Xenopus tropicalis: one gene and its partners. The protein of the gene in region 1 purifies or fractionates together with the protein of each later gene. This does not show direct contact. Links are inferred from orthologs where the notes say so. Each region holds a gene or a part of one and is shown in the gene's direction. Other genes may lie near its edges. The genes, in order: rtn4, atl3 and cyb5r3.

Region 1 (3,652 bases):
AAACAGATGTCACAGTTGACTAAACTCTTCGTGGCTCCCATGTTGCTGATATTCAGTCATTTTCATTATCTTTGCTGTTTTGATCAAAATTGCCTGGAGGGGTGCAGACTTGCTGTAGTAGGTGCCTCATTGCGCTGAATACAGGCATGAAAGGGGACTTACAGCTAGAGATCTGAACTTATTGTACAGTGCTGCAGAATATGTTGGCGCTTTAATAGATACATGTTAATAATAACAGACAGAGTTATTTAAGAGACTTTCAGTGGGTACATTTGTTTTATGAACTTGAGAAATGACTTATCCTCTAAAGATTACTGTATGTTTATTACTACCGTATGTAATAAAGCAGCTGTCATTCTCTGAACTGCGGGCACTAGCAGAGCAGAGACTTATGGTGACAATGACAAAAGTGTGTTATTTGCTAGAAATGAGGAGACAAGCAGGAAAATTCTGGAATCCATTTTCTTGTTTGTAATTGGGCTAATGTTACTTTGGCTATGTACAGCAGTGCAATGAAATGAAAGTTCAGATATGGGACCTGTTATCCAGAATGCTCAGGACCTGGGGTTTCCCAGTTAAGGGGTCTTTCTGTAATCTGTATATCCATACTTAAATACCTCAAAATTACATAAACAACAAGATTGTGTTTCCTCCAATAAGGATTAATTATACCTTAGTTGGGATCAAGGTTTTATTATTACAGAGAAAAGGGATATCTTTTTTTAAAAAGTTAGAATTATTTGCTAATATTGAAATCTATGGGAGATGGCCTTTTTGTAATTCTGAGCTTTCTGGATAACAGGTTTTAGTATAACAGATCCCATACCTGTTTAGAGCATTTTGCATACTTTTGAGTACTTGGCAGTGTATTATGGGTTTATCCTGTAGTCTATTAAGGCTCAAAGTTCATCTTTGCTCTATTATATCTTCCCGTAAAGACGTTTGTTTAAAGCTCTGCCAGACTGCTGCAACATGGAAACCATTGGCTTTATAGGCACCACATGTCTGAAACAGCTCAAACAGGATCAAAATGCATCATCGGCAGCAGCTGCTCCTGTAGTTCTGTCGCTGGTCCTGCTGGTTACTGTGCATTCCGCCCATACTGCTGTACTGATGAATATGCCTTCTGCATCACCCACTATCCTCCTGCCCTAATGCCTAAATTTAGTTGTTGCCGCTCTTACTTGGTAGAGAATCTCATTGCTGTTGCACGTGAATCGACTTGGCTGAGTTCCTGGCAGATGATGTCTATATGATCTACAGCTATAGCCATGGAAACTGGCCCTGCAGTTAGTGGCTTCTTTGCTGTGACAGAACATTCATTTTTAGATGACACAAAATATTCTTGGGTTCCATGTGGGCGTCCAGTTATTTTGCTTAAGATTTAAAACTCCTTTTAACATCATTAGGGAAATGTATTACTGTGCTATGTTCTCTGTATTATGGGGAACAGAATCCATTAGTTCAGTAGATGCCCTTTTGCTGTAAATTTAATTGGTAAGTTTAAAACCTTACATTTAATTTAAATTTCCCTAAAGGGGAACTCTAGCTTTAGAATCAAAATTTGTTAAAGAGCCTCACTCAACACAGAAACCCCTAATGTACCTATCACTGTAATCTGTTCCTTAAAAATAAAAGTATGAATAAATACCATTTGTATATGGAAATCATACTATGAACAACTTTTCTCTTTCTACATGATTTGAAATCCTGGCAGGGGAGGAGGGACTAAAACATCAATGTTACAAATTATAACATAATCTCCACATTTTACAGACAGCATGCAGAAAGGAACTACATAACCCACAGTGCATTGCACTGTGATGTTCCTTTCCTTATTGACATCATGTGTTCAGGGAATTGGCTCAAAGCAGTCAGCCAGATCAACAGGGGGCGGGGCTTAGGAAACTGTTCCAAACCATAGTATTACATTAAACATGTAAAGCCTGGATATTTTTATTTGATGTATATTACAAAATTGCTTGAAATTATGTTTATTTTTCAAAAAACGTAAGTTGTGTTTGGGTGGCGTTCCCCTTTAATGTGGTCCTTTGAATAGTTTTGGAGTGAAAGCTAAATTCACTGGGGGTGCCAATTTGTTAGGCACCCCCTCTCCATAATCGAAATGTTATCCTTCTGCCCCAGCATTAATGGTGCGCCCCTTTGGTGCATTCTGGCTTGGTCCTATTACTGAGCAGCGTGATTGGCACTTGCATGGCATGCTAGTATGTTGTGGCTGCATGGAGCATGTTCTGGGCTGCCAAAAGGAAGGGCTAAGCCAGCAGTCTCTGTCTGAGATATATATATATATGTTATACTTATGCTCTCGTATATCTCTCTTAATGCTCTGTCTCTTAATGAAATCTCAGGGAATGTAAGATTGCTAGTTTTCCTTTTGCTTCTGATCTAATCAGCGACATTTCTCTAAGGCCTCTGTGTATTTGTTTTTCAGATGAGAACCTTTTCCCTCTTCCTGCTGCATCTGCGCCTCTGATGCACCCCTCTGCAGGCAAGTTCTTTCTGCTCTCCTGCTCTGTCTCTGCATTAACCCTCTGTCTGTCTCTCTCACTTGCTCCTTCACTCATTAGTGGTTAGAGTGTCACTGTGGCCGTGTCTGTCTGTCTGTCTCTCTCACTTGCTCCTTTACTTATTATTGGTTAGAGTGTCACTGTGTCTGTCTGCCCTGTGCACAACACTTACCCTCAGGAAACGGAGCACCGAGTTTTGGGATCATTTGAAGCATCCATGTTCTTACTATGTCATGAGTATTGTTTGTAGGGGTTGTTCAACTTTGAGTTAACTTTTAGTATGTTTTAGAGAGAAATTCCAAGCTTCCAATTGCAGATTGTCTCAGAATAGCATTCTCTACTTCATACTAAGATAATTTAACAGTGAACAACCCCTTTATCAGGCACCACATGGACCTTTATGCAGACGCACACAATGAATCTTGGGGTGAAAATGTGCATTTTTTCACTACAAAATACACTGAATGCCTGCACACAGGAGCGAGTGGCTCGGTTGTTTCTCCGCCTGCATTTCTATTTAACAACAGCTACACAGCCTAATAAATCTATTGCTTTATCTGTGCAGTAAATGCTTATGTCTTCTGTCTGCTACTGATAACTTTCCTTTCTGTTCGTGGTCACAGACAAAGTAACGGACTTGCAAGAGCCTTCTAGCACTGTATCCACTGGCCAAGAGGAACTTGCATCTGTGCTGCTTCAGTCTACTGCTTCCCTTTCTTCTTTGCCTTCTCTGTCTACTGATTCCTCTAAAGAGCATGTGGACACTGTCGCTTTGCCTGCTGGCTTAGCTGCCACTGAAGCTTTGCAAGAACACATCGATAACATATTTAACGTATCAAGGACCACTGATAATTTACTATTAACAGACCACTTAGAAACTAAAGCTTTAGACCAAGTTAAGGAAGATGTGATATTTTCTGAGAAGGGTTATGTAGTTGAGCATCCAACATCTCGACAGGAGACCATCTCTGAAGAGCACGCTAAATTGTACTCCCAGTCTGCTAAAGAGATGTTTTCAGGTATGCTTCAGTCTGTTGGGCCTCCTCATGAAGAGTTTACGGATATCAAGGAAGTCGAGGATCAGTATGTTGACTTTAAACCGTTCATGAGTTCAAAGTCAGCTG
Region 2 (4,214 bases), on another chromosome or scaffold:
ATAGCAGATTGAATAAATGCTTTCTTCTTGTATACTTGAGCAATTCATACAAGGTTGCCACCACCCAGGGCCATATATTCTTTATAGACACCAGGCACATATTTGTGGAAAGGCCACAAAGGCCTGGGCCTAGGGCATCAGGAGGACTGTGAGGACAGCATGCCACCGTGCCTCATCTACATTTGGGATTGGGCAGACAGAAGATCTAAACAGCTATTTGACTCTCCGCCCTTCCAGTCCCCACTACCGCAATTCTATTGTTAGTGATGAGCTTTGCTACAGCCTAGGGGTGTACATACTTCAAATTTGGCTCTGATACACAGCTGATGGCCATATAATTTTGTTCTTATTCTGACCTGCGCACATCCTCTGGTACCTATATAAAGACACTAACCAGTAAAGTTGAGCTAAAGGGATACCCCACTTAGATATGATTGGCACATGAGCGCTGACACCAGTCAGGTGTGAGGAGGCAGCTTTAATACCCGTGTCTATGTCACCTGTGTTTGTTTGCTATTGGAAACTTGTTACCCCATGTGAGCAGGTGGCCCTCCAGCTGTCACAGAACTAGAGCTGTCTCTCTCCAAGACTGAAGGTAGTTGTTTTTCTGTGGCAGCCACAATGCCACTTCCTGATATGTCAAATTAAATAATGACAAGAAAGTGTGTTCCTTGAGTCACTGCTGTATTGAACACTGCCATGGGAGACTGTAGTAGAATACCTGCAAATAAGGGCTCTCACACATGGGTTGCCAATCGCAGACGGAACGCAGTTTATGTATCATCTGTGTTCAGTGCTGTGCTTACTGTCATTCACCCTTGTGAATGCATTCTATTGTGTTTCTGCAGCGAAATGTCTGTGCGTTCACAGACTGACACTAGAACTGTCAGTGCACCAAGAAAAAGGATTGGATGGGAATGTATCAGCTTTTCTTGCCTGTGAGAATATACTGTTGGAGAAAAGCTGATTGTCAGTACTATGTGCCTAAAGCCAAAGACATTGCTGAGAATGAGAAGCTCTAACAAATGATAGTGTGAGACAATAGAACACTTGAGTTTGGAGCAAAACTGCAGCTGCACTACCCTCATTTACAGTGACCCACTTTGACTGGGCTAGTAGCACAAAGACAAGGGGCGGGACTTGGGCTGCTATTGCAGAATTTGTACCAGTCACTCACAATTATGACTACTTCCTGTGGAAGACTGAACGTGAAGACACGCCCAGCCCTGATTTCAGGCCAGGCACGGAACAGTGAGGGTCTCTCTGCAGCTTTGATACAATTACATTTATAAGAGGTAAAATGCAATTTCAACCATTTATTTCTGGGGAACTGTATGCTGACATTAATAGGTTATGAGAATTACATAATATGTCGTCTGTTCTGACTCTCTGTCACTGTATAATGAAAAAGCCATGCTCATACTTTGCAATATTTTAACTTTCTTTTTGCTTGCTGGTGACAGCAATTCATGAGCATAAAAGCCATTACAGAGGTAACTTCTTACTAATAAGTCGGTGTCCATAAAGATTGTTTGTTTGAGTGCCCAGCATAACTGTAGATAACTTTTTGTGTGTTTACATATAAACTCTAGTGGGTTGCAACAAAGTATGTTGAATCCCAAGAGTGTCTGCCTTTTTTCTTCATTACATGCAGATTGTAAAGGATCTATAATAAGTTATTTATAAGAGTTATTGCTATTGAAAGCGGTACTTTGCTGACTGTTTACATTCTCCACCTTGCTGGCTCCGACTCCTCGCACAATGTGCCAGAAGCCAGTAAGGAACAGAGCTGGAAGTGAACTGATTTTCTGTGTTGTTTTAGCAGTGCAGAAAGAGAAAGGAATATAGATACCACTTTTAGGTGAAAACACATTTAAAATAAAATTGTAAACAACAGAAACATTTTTATGCATGTATATTACAAAGGTGTTTAGATTTTTTCTTTCTTTGCAAAGAAAATGAATTTTTGGCTTTCTTTTGCTAAAAAAAAAAAGTACTCTGTACTACGCAATTACTTTTTGCTATCACTAGTCATTAAAATACTCTTTTCTAATTACTACAACTACAACTTTCAGCTTTCTTTTACCTTTGACTATATGTTAAAGAACACTGACAGTGAATGGAAGAGGCGAACTTCCTACACATGGCCTGGTCGTGCCCACAAATAGCCAAATTTTGGTCTGAGGTTATGTGTGTCCTAGCAGATAAACTAGAATTCCCCAAAATTCTGACACCCCAAATATGCATACTGGGAATCCTAGATGAATTAATAACTACCAACTATGCTAGAACCAGATATAGGACACTTCTATATTATGCCAGGAAAATCATTGCAATGGCTTGGATGGGACCTGAACCTCCTACGGTTCAAAACTGGATCACCCTGGTAAATCAAGTTCTGCCCCTCATTAAACTTACTCTGTTAGCCAGAGGTTCCAAAAAGAAGTTTGAGAAAATTTGGAGCCCATGGTGGGAGGCGGGCCTAGGTGGACAAGGTACTCTGGCATAAAATACAATACCCTAACTTACACATGCGGATGACTTTAATTCCCTAGCAAACTCCCCAAGCAATAATCACCTAAAAAACCTCTACACTACCTCCAACCCTACTACAATATAAGTGAATGGATTAGCGCCATACAACTGTAATCTATGTCATACCAACCAAACCTATGTTAATTTATTAGTATATCTGTCATAACAAAACTGAAACATGTTTAATATGTTACCGCAATACTGTATCCAACGGTATATAATTTTTTTCCTTTTTTTCCGATTTTATTTTTTTCTTTACTCTTTTCTTGATGTTTTGTTTCATGTATGTTATATTAAAAATAAAAGGATAAACTATAAAAAAAAAGAACACTGACAGTTTTAGTAAAGCAGCATCAGGGTACCCAAGATAAAGGCTGCTGTCACACACACATGACACCTGCCACAAGTGACATGAGAACATCTGGTGTTTCAGCACCAACTGACAGCAAGGCATCTGTCAATGTGCATATGGGGCAGATTTTGGCCTGAAAAGCGAAGTTGGGCATTTTCAGGGCAAAACCCACCCCATGTGAGCATTGACAGGTGGATGCTGTGCCTGAAGGTGCTTGTGGAAAACAAGGTGGATGGCAAACGATTGGCATGTGAGAAACGGGTGTGAGAAAGGAAACAGACTAAAAATTTATTTAAAATCTATATATTTAATATGTCTTAAATTTATATTTTTAATATTTAAATGAGAACTAAATGCAAACTTTAACCTGGGTTCCCGTGCACTGCCTCCCCTTCTCCTCAGTAAAGACAACCTGCAACCCCCAGCACAGAGTTGCCCTGCTCCATCATACAGATATGCTGAAAATGCAGTGCTGCATGGTGGGCTGCTTGACTTCTGGTCCTCTGCTTTGTGGCAACATTAGAATATGTACATGTTCCTGGTTGGTGATTGTGGGCAAAAAGTAGAGGATTGTTGGATTGCTGGGAAACACTGCATTGTCAGCACTGGTATGTTAGAGCAGGGCTTGTAGGTTAGTTCTTCTTTAAGACAGAGTACTACATTTGAAAAATGTAATGATGTTTCTCTGTATATTCCTGTGTACACAATAGCATTATTTTGTTCTTACTGAGTTGTTTGAATATAAAATACATACACAGCATTTCTTCCTTTCTTTTTGGCTCTTTCTGTTTTCTGCATGCAGACATGGCTTCTTCTGCACCTGGTCCGGTCCAGGTAGTGTTAGTACAAAAGGATGACCATTCCTTCCAGCTGGATGAAGAAGCTCTGGCATCTGTACTACTTCAGGATCATATTCGTGATCTGGATGTTGTCGTTGTGTCAGTAGCAGGTGCTTTCCGCAAAGGGAAATCATTCTTGTTGGACTTCATGCTGAGATATGTCTACAGCCAGGTAACATCCTAGGGTACTGAATTGGCTCAGGAATCTGCACTAGTTACTTTCAGATGATTTAGATCACTAATTTCTATTATGACTATGTGTCTCTAAACCAGTGATCCCCAACCAGTGGTTCAAGAGCAACAAGTTGCTCACCAACCCCTTGAACGTTGGCCCCAGTGCCCCCAAACCAGGTAGTTATTTTTGAATTCCTCACTTGGTGGCAAGTTTTGGTTGAATAAAAACAAGATTTACTACCAAATAAAGCCTCCTGTAAGCTGATAGTGTGCATAGAGGCTACCTAATAGCCAAAAAACAGTGTCTCCTGACG
Region 3 (4,332 bases), on another chromosome or scaffold:
CTCACTCACCGGCCCTGCATCCCCAGGTAGGGGCCCCTCACTCACCGGCCCTGCATCCCCAGGTAGGGGCCCCTCACTCACCGGCCCTGCATCCCCAGGTAGGGGCCCCTCACTCACCGGCCCTGCATCCCCAGGTAGGGGCCCCACACTCACCGGCCCTGCATCCCCAGGTAGGGGCCCCTCATTCACCGGCCCTGCATCCCCAGGTAGGGGCCCCTCACTCACCGGCCCTGCATCCCCAGGTAGGGGCCCCTCACTCACCGGCCCTGCATCCCCAGGTAGGGGCCCCTCACTCACCGGCCCTGCATCCCCAGGTAGGGTCCCCTCACTCACCGGCCCTGCATCCCCAGGTAGGGTCCCCTCACTCACCGGCCCTGCATCCCCAGGTAGGGGCCCCTCACTCACCGGCCCTGCATCCCCAGGTAGGGTCCCCTCACTCACCGGCCCTGCATCCCCAGGTAGGGGCCCCTCACTCACCGGCCCTGCATCCCCAGGTAGGGTCCCCTCACTCACCGGCCCTGCATCCCCAGGTAGGGGCCCCTCACTCACCGGCCCTGCATCCCCAGGTAGGGGCCCCACACTCACCGGCCCTGCATCCCCAGGTAGGGGCCCCTCACTCACCGGCCCTGCATCCCCAGGTAGGGGCCCCTCACTCACCGGCCCTGCATCCCCAGGTAGGGGCCCCTCACTCACCGGCCCTGCATCCCCAGGTAGGGGCCCCACATCACGTACAGCCCCTGCCCCAGTTAGAGCCCCGAACACACAGCCGGTGACAGTCCCACCTGTTACTCTCCATGGTTCCTGCCCGTCACTCTCCGGCCGGCTCCCCACTCACTCGCTCTAATAGCGCTAGACCGCTAAGTATCCCACGTCACCCCGGAGCAGCCAATAGGAACCCGCGACAAGGGAGGAGCCCTGCCCCACCCCTGCCTCTTCGCTTGGGCTACTGTAAAGACTTGGGGGCGTGTCTGTTTTGGGTGAGCTATTGACGGACAGCTTGGTTTTCTGGTTTAAATTGTGGGTTGGGATAATACTGAGTGGGCGGGCTTTTGTAACTTTTAACCAATAAGAAAGCGGCAAGTGGGAGGGACTTACAAAACATGTTTAGACAGTAAGTTTAGCTGTTAATGTTGACTTTCTGCTGGAGAATTGGGAAGGTCGGCAGGATATGTAATGATTGGCTGCACAAAGTTTTGGGAGGGTGCGTCTGTCAGATAAACCTGCAAAGCGATTGGCCGACATAGAGAGGTGGGCGGACCGGGCGGGATACTGCGTTTCAAGGAAGGGCGCCTTGTATTTGGCAGGCCTGTGGGCGGGCGCATAGATAAGGCTGTTTGCATATTGGTCAAGGGGCGGGCACATAGGGAGGAGGATGACGCGATTGGTTGGCTTGTGGTTCTTTTAGAAAAGCGGGAGGAGCCAGTCATAAGGGGGTGGTACAGTGTTGACGGCGGAGTGGGCGTGGCTCTGCTGCAGTGAGTCTGAGACGTTCTGTGAGTTCGTGTCCGCCTGACTGACCTGTAAAATGGGGGCCCAAATTAGCACGGTAAGTGCCCCCCCAGGAACCTACCGACCCGCCCTCCTACTGCTCTAACTGCCCCCCCCCCTTCCGTGGCACTTGGGCCTGACCCAGCTGTACCCTTAGTATGGGGCTTTGTATAGCGTCCCTATACCCATCAGCCCCCTGTCACTGGCTGGTACTGGAACGTACCATTGGCAGAACCATGGGGGGGGGGGGGCCGGAACTGGCAATCTGTGGGCTCCAGGGGGGTCACTGTGAGGTGCAGTAGCCTGGTACTGTGTATTGGGCCGGAACCGGAACCGCCTGGGCCTGTATAGTATCCCTGTACTGGTATCAGTCAGGGGCCCCGCCCCCCTATACTCCTGCACCCCTATACTCCTGCACCCCCAAACCATATATTGTACATCAGTCAGGGGCCCCCCTATACTCCTGCACCCCCAAACCTTGGGGATAATGATCTGTATCTCACACATATATTGTACATCAGTCAGGGACCCCACTGGCCCCCCTATACTCCTGCACCCCCAAACCTTGGGGATAATGATCTGTATCTCACACATATATTGTACATCAGTCAGGGACCCCACTGGCCCCCTATACTCCTGCACCCCCAAACCTTGGGGATAATGATCTGTATCTCACACATATATTGTACATCAGTCAGGAACCCCACTGGCCCCCCTATACTCCTGCACCCCCAAACCCTGGGGATAATGATCTGTATCTCACACATATATTGTACATCAGTTCAGGGACCCCACTGGCCCCCCTATACTCCTGCACCCCAAACCTTGGGGATAATGATCTGTATCTCACACATATATTGTACATCAGTCAGGGACCCCACTGGCCCCCCTATACTCCTGCACCCCCAAACCTTGGGGATAATGATCTGTAATCTCACACATTATATTGTACATCAGTCAGGGGCCCCACTGGCCCCCCTATACTCCTGCACCCCCAAACCTTGGGGATAATGATCTGTATCTCACGACATATATTGTACATCAGTCAGGGACCCCACTGGCCCCCCTATACTCCTGCACCCCCAAACCTTGGGGATAATGATCTGTATCTCACACATATATTTATTGTACATCAGTCAGGGACCCCCCTGGCCCCCCTATACTCCTGCACCCCCAAACCTTGGGTGATAATGATCTGTATCTCACACATATATTGTACATCAGTCAGGGACCCCACTGGCCCCCCTATACTCCTGCACCCCCAAACCTTGGGATAATGATCTGTATCTCACACATATATTGTACATTCAGTCAGGGGCCCCACTGGCCCCCTATACTCCTGCACCCCCAAACCTTGGGGATAATGATCTGTAATCTCACACATATATTGTACATCAGTCAGGGGCCCCCCGCCCCCCTATACTCCTGCACCCCCAAACCTTGGGGATAATGATCTGTATCTCACACATATATTGATATTGTACATCAGTCAGGGACCCCACTGGCCCCCCTATACTCCTGCACCCCCAAACCTTGGGGATAATGATCTGTATCTCACACATATATTGTACATCAGTCAGGGACCCCACTGGCCCCCCTATACTCCTGCACCCCCAAACCTTGGGGATAATGATCTGTATCTCACACATATATTGTACATCAGTCAGGGACCCCACTGGCCCCCCTATACTCCTGCACCCCAAACCTTGGGGATAATGATCTGTATCTCACACATATATTGTACATCAGTCAGGGACCCCACTGGCCCCCCTATACCCTGCACCCCCAAACCTTGGGATAATGATCTGTATCTCACACATATATTGTACATCAGTCAGGGACCCCCTGGCCCCCCTATACTCCTGCACCCCCAAACCTTGGGATAATGATCTGTATCTCACACATATATTGTACATCAGTCAGGGACCCCACTGGCCCCCCTATACTCCTGCACCCCCAAACCTTGGGGATAATGATCTGTATCTCACACATATATTGTACATCAGTCAGGGGCCCCACTGGCCCCCCTATACTCCTGCACCCCCAAACCTTGGGGATAATGATCTGTATCTCACACATATATTGTACATCAGTCAGGGGCCCCACTGGCCCCCCTATACTCCTGCACCCCCAAACCTTGGGGATAATGATCTGTATCTCACACATATATTGTACATCAGTCAGGGACCCCCGCCCCCCTATACTCCTGCACCCCCAAACCATATATTGTACATCAGTCAGGGACCCCGCCCCCCTATACTCCTGCTCCCCCAAACCTTGGGGATAATGATCTGTATCTCACACATATATTGTACATCAGTCAGGGACCCACTGGCCCCCCTATACTCCTGCACCCCCAAACCTTGGGGATAATGATCTGTATCTCACACATATATTGTACATCAGTCAGGGGCCCCCGCCCCCCTATACTCCTGCACCCCCAAACCTTGGGATAATGATCTGTATCTCACACATATATTGTACATCAGTCAGGGGCCCCACTGGCCCCCTATACTCCTGCACCCCCAAACCTTGGGGATAATGATCTGTATCTCACACATATATTGTACATCAGTCAGGGACCCCCGCCCCCCTATACTCCTGCACCCCCAAACCATATATTGTACATCAGTCAGGGACCCCGCCCCCCTATACTCCTGCTCCCCCAAACCTTGGGGATAATGATCTGTATCTCACACATATATTGTACATCAGTCAGGGACCCCACTGGCCCCCCTATACTCCTGCACCCCCAAACCTTGGGGATAATGATCTGTATCTCACACATATATTGTACATCAGTCAGGGACCCCACTGGCCCCCCTGTACTCCTGCACCCCCAAA

The links.
Region 2: the proteins of rtn4 (region 1) and atl3 purify together in Homo sapiens (affinity purification with mass spectrometry; 4 studies listed by BioGRID and IntAct, counting the BioPlex papers as one, with this or other methods). This does not show direct contact. The link is inferred for Xenopus tropicalis from reciprocal best matches to the Homo sapiens genes RTN4 and ATL3.
Region 3: the proteins of rtn4 (region 1) and cyb5r3 purify together in Homo sapiens (affinity purification with mass spectrometry; 3 studies listed by BioGRID and IntAct, counting the BioPlex papers as one, with this or other methods). This does not show direct contact. The link is inferred for Xenopus tropicalis from reciprocal best matches to the Homo sapiens genes RTN4 and CYB5R3.

What each region holds. Positions count from the first base shown.
Region 1 is NC_030681.2:24,264,273-24,267,924, reverse strand, and holds part of rtn4 (reticulon-4), read left to right. Parts: intron 1-2,452; coding exon 2,453-2,509; intron 2,510-3,151; coding exon 3,152-3,652. UniProt on the Homo sapiens protein: Required to induce the formation and stabilization of endoplasmic reticulum (ER) tubules. They regulate membrane morphogenesis in the ER by promoting tubular ER production.
Region 2 is NC_030680.2:36,371,954-36,376,167, forward strand, and holds the start of atl3 (atlastin-3), read left to right. Parts: upstream 1-1,283; 5' UTR 1,284-1,295; intron 1,296-3,689; coding exon of another isoform or gene 3,690-3,691; coding exon 3,692-3,898; intron 3,899-4,214. UniProt on the Homo sapiens protein: Atlastin-3 (ATL3) is a membrane-anchored GTPase that mediates the GTP-dependent fusion of endoplasmic reticulum (ER) membranes, maintaining the continuous ER network. It facilitates the formation of three-way junctions where ER tubules intersect.
Region 3 is NC_030679.2:2,598,352-2,602,683, forward strand, and holds the start of cyb5r3 (cytochrome b5 reductase 3), read left to right. Parts: upstream 1-1,451; 5' UTR 1,452-1,525; coding exon 1,526-1,546; intron 1,547-4,332. Other genes in the region: endoul (poly(U)-specific endoribonuclease), read right to left, coding at 783-796. UniProt on the Homo sapiens protein: Catalyzes the reduction of two molecules of cytochrome b5 using NADH as the electron donor.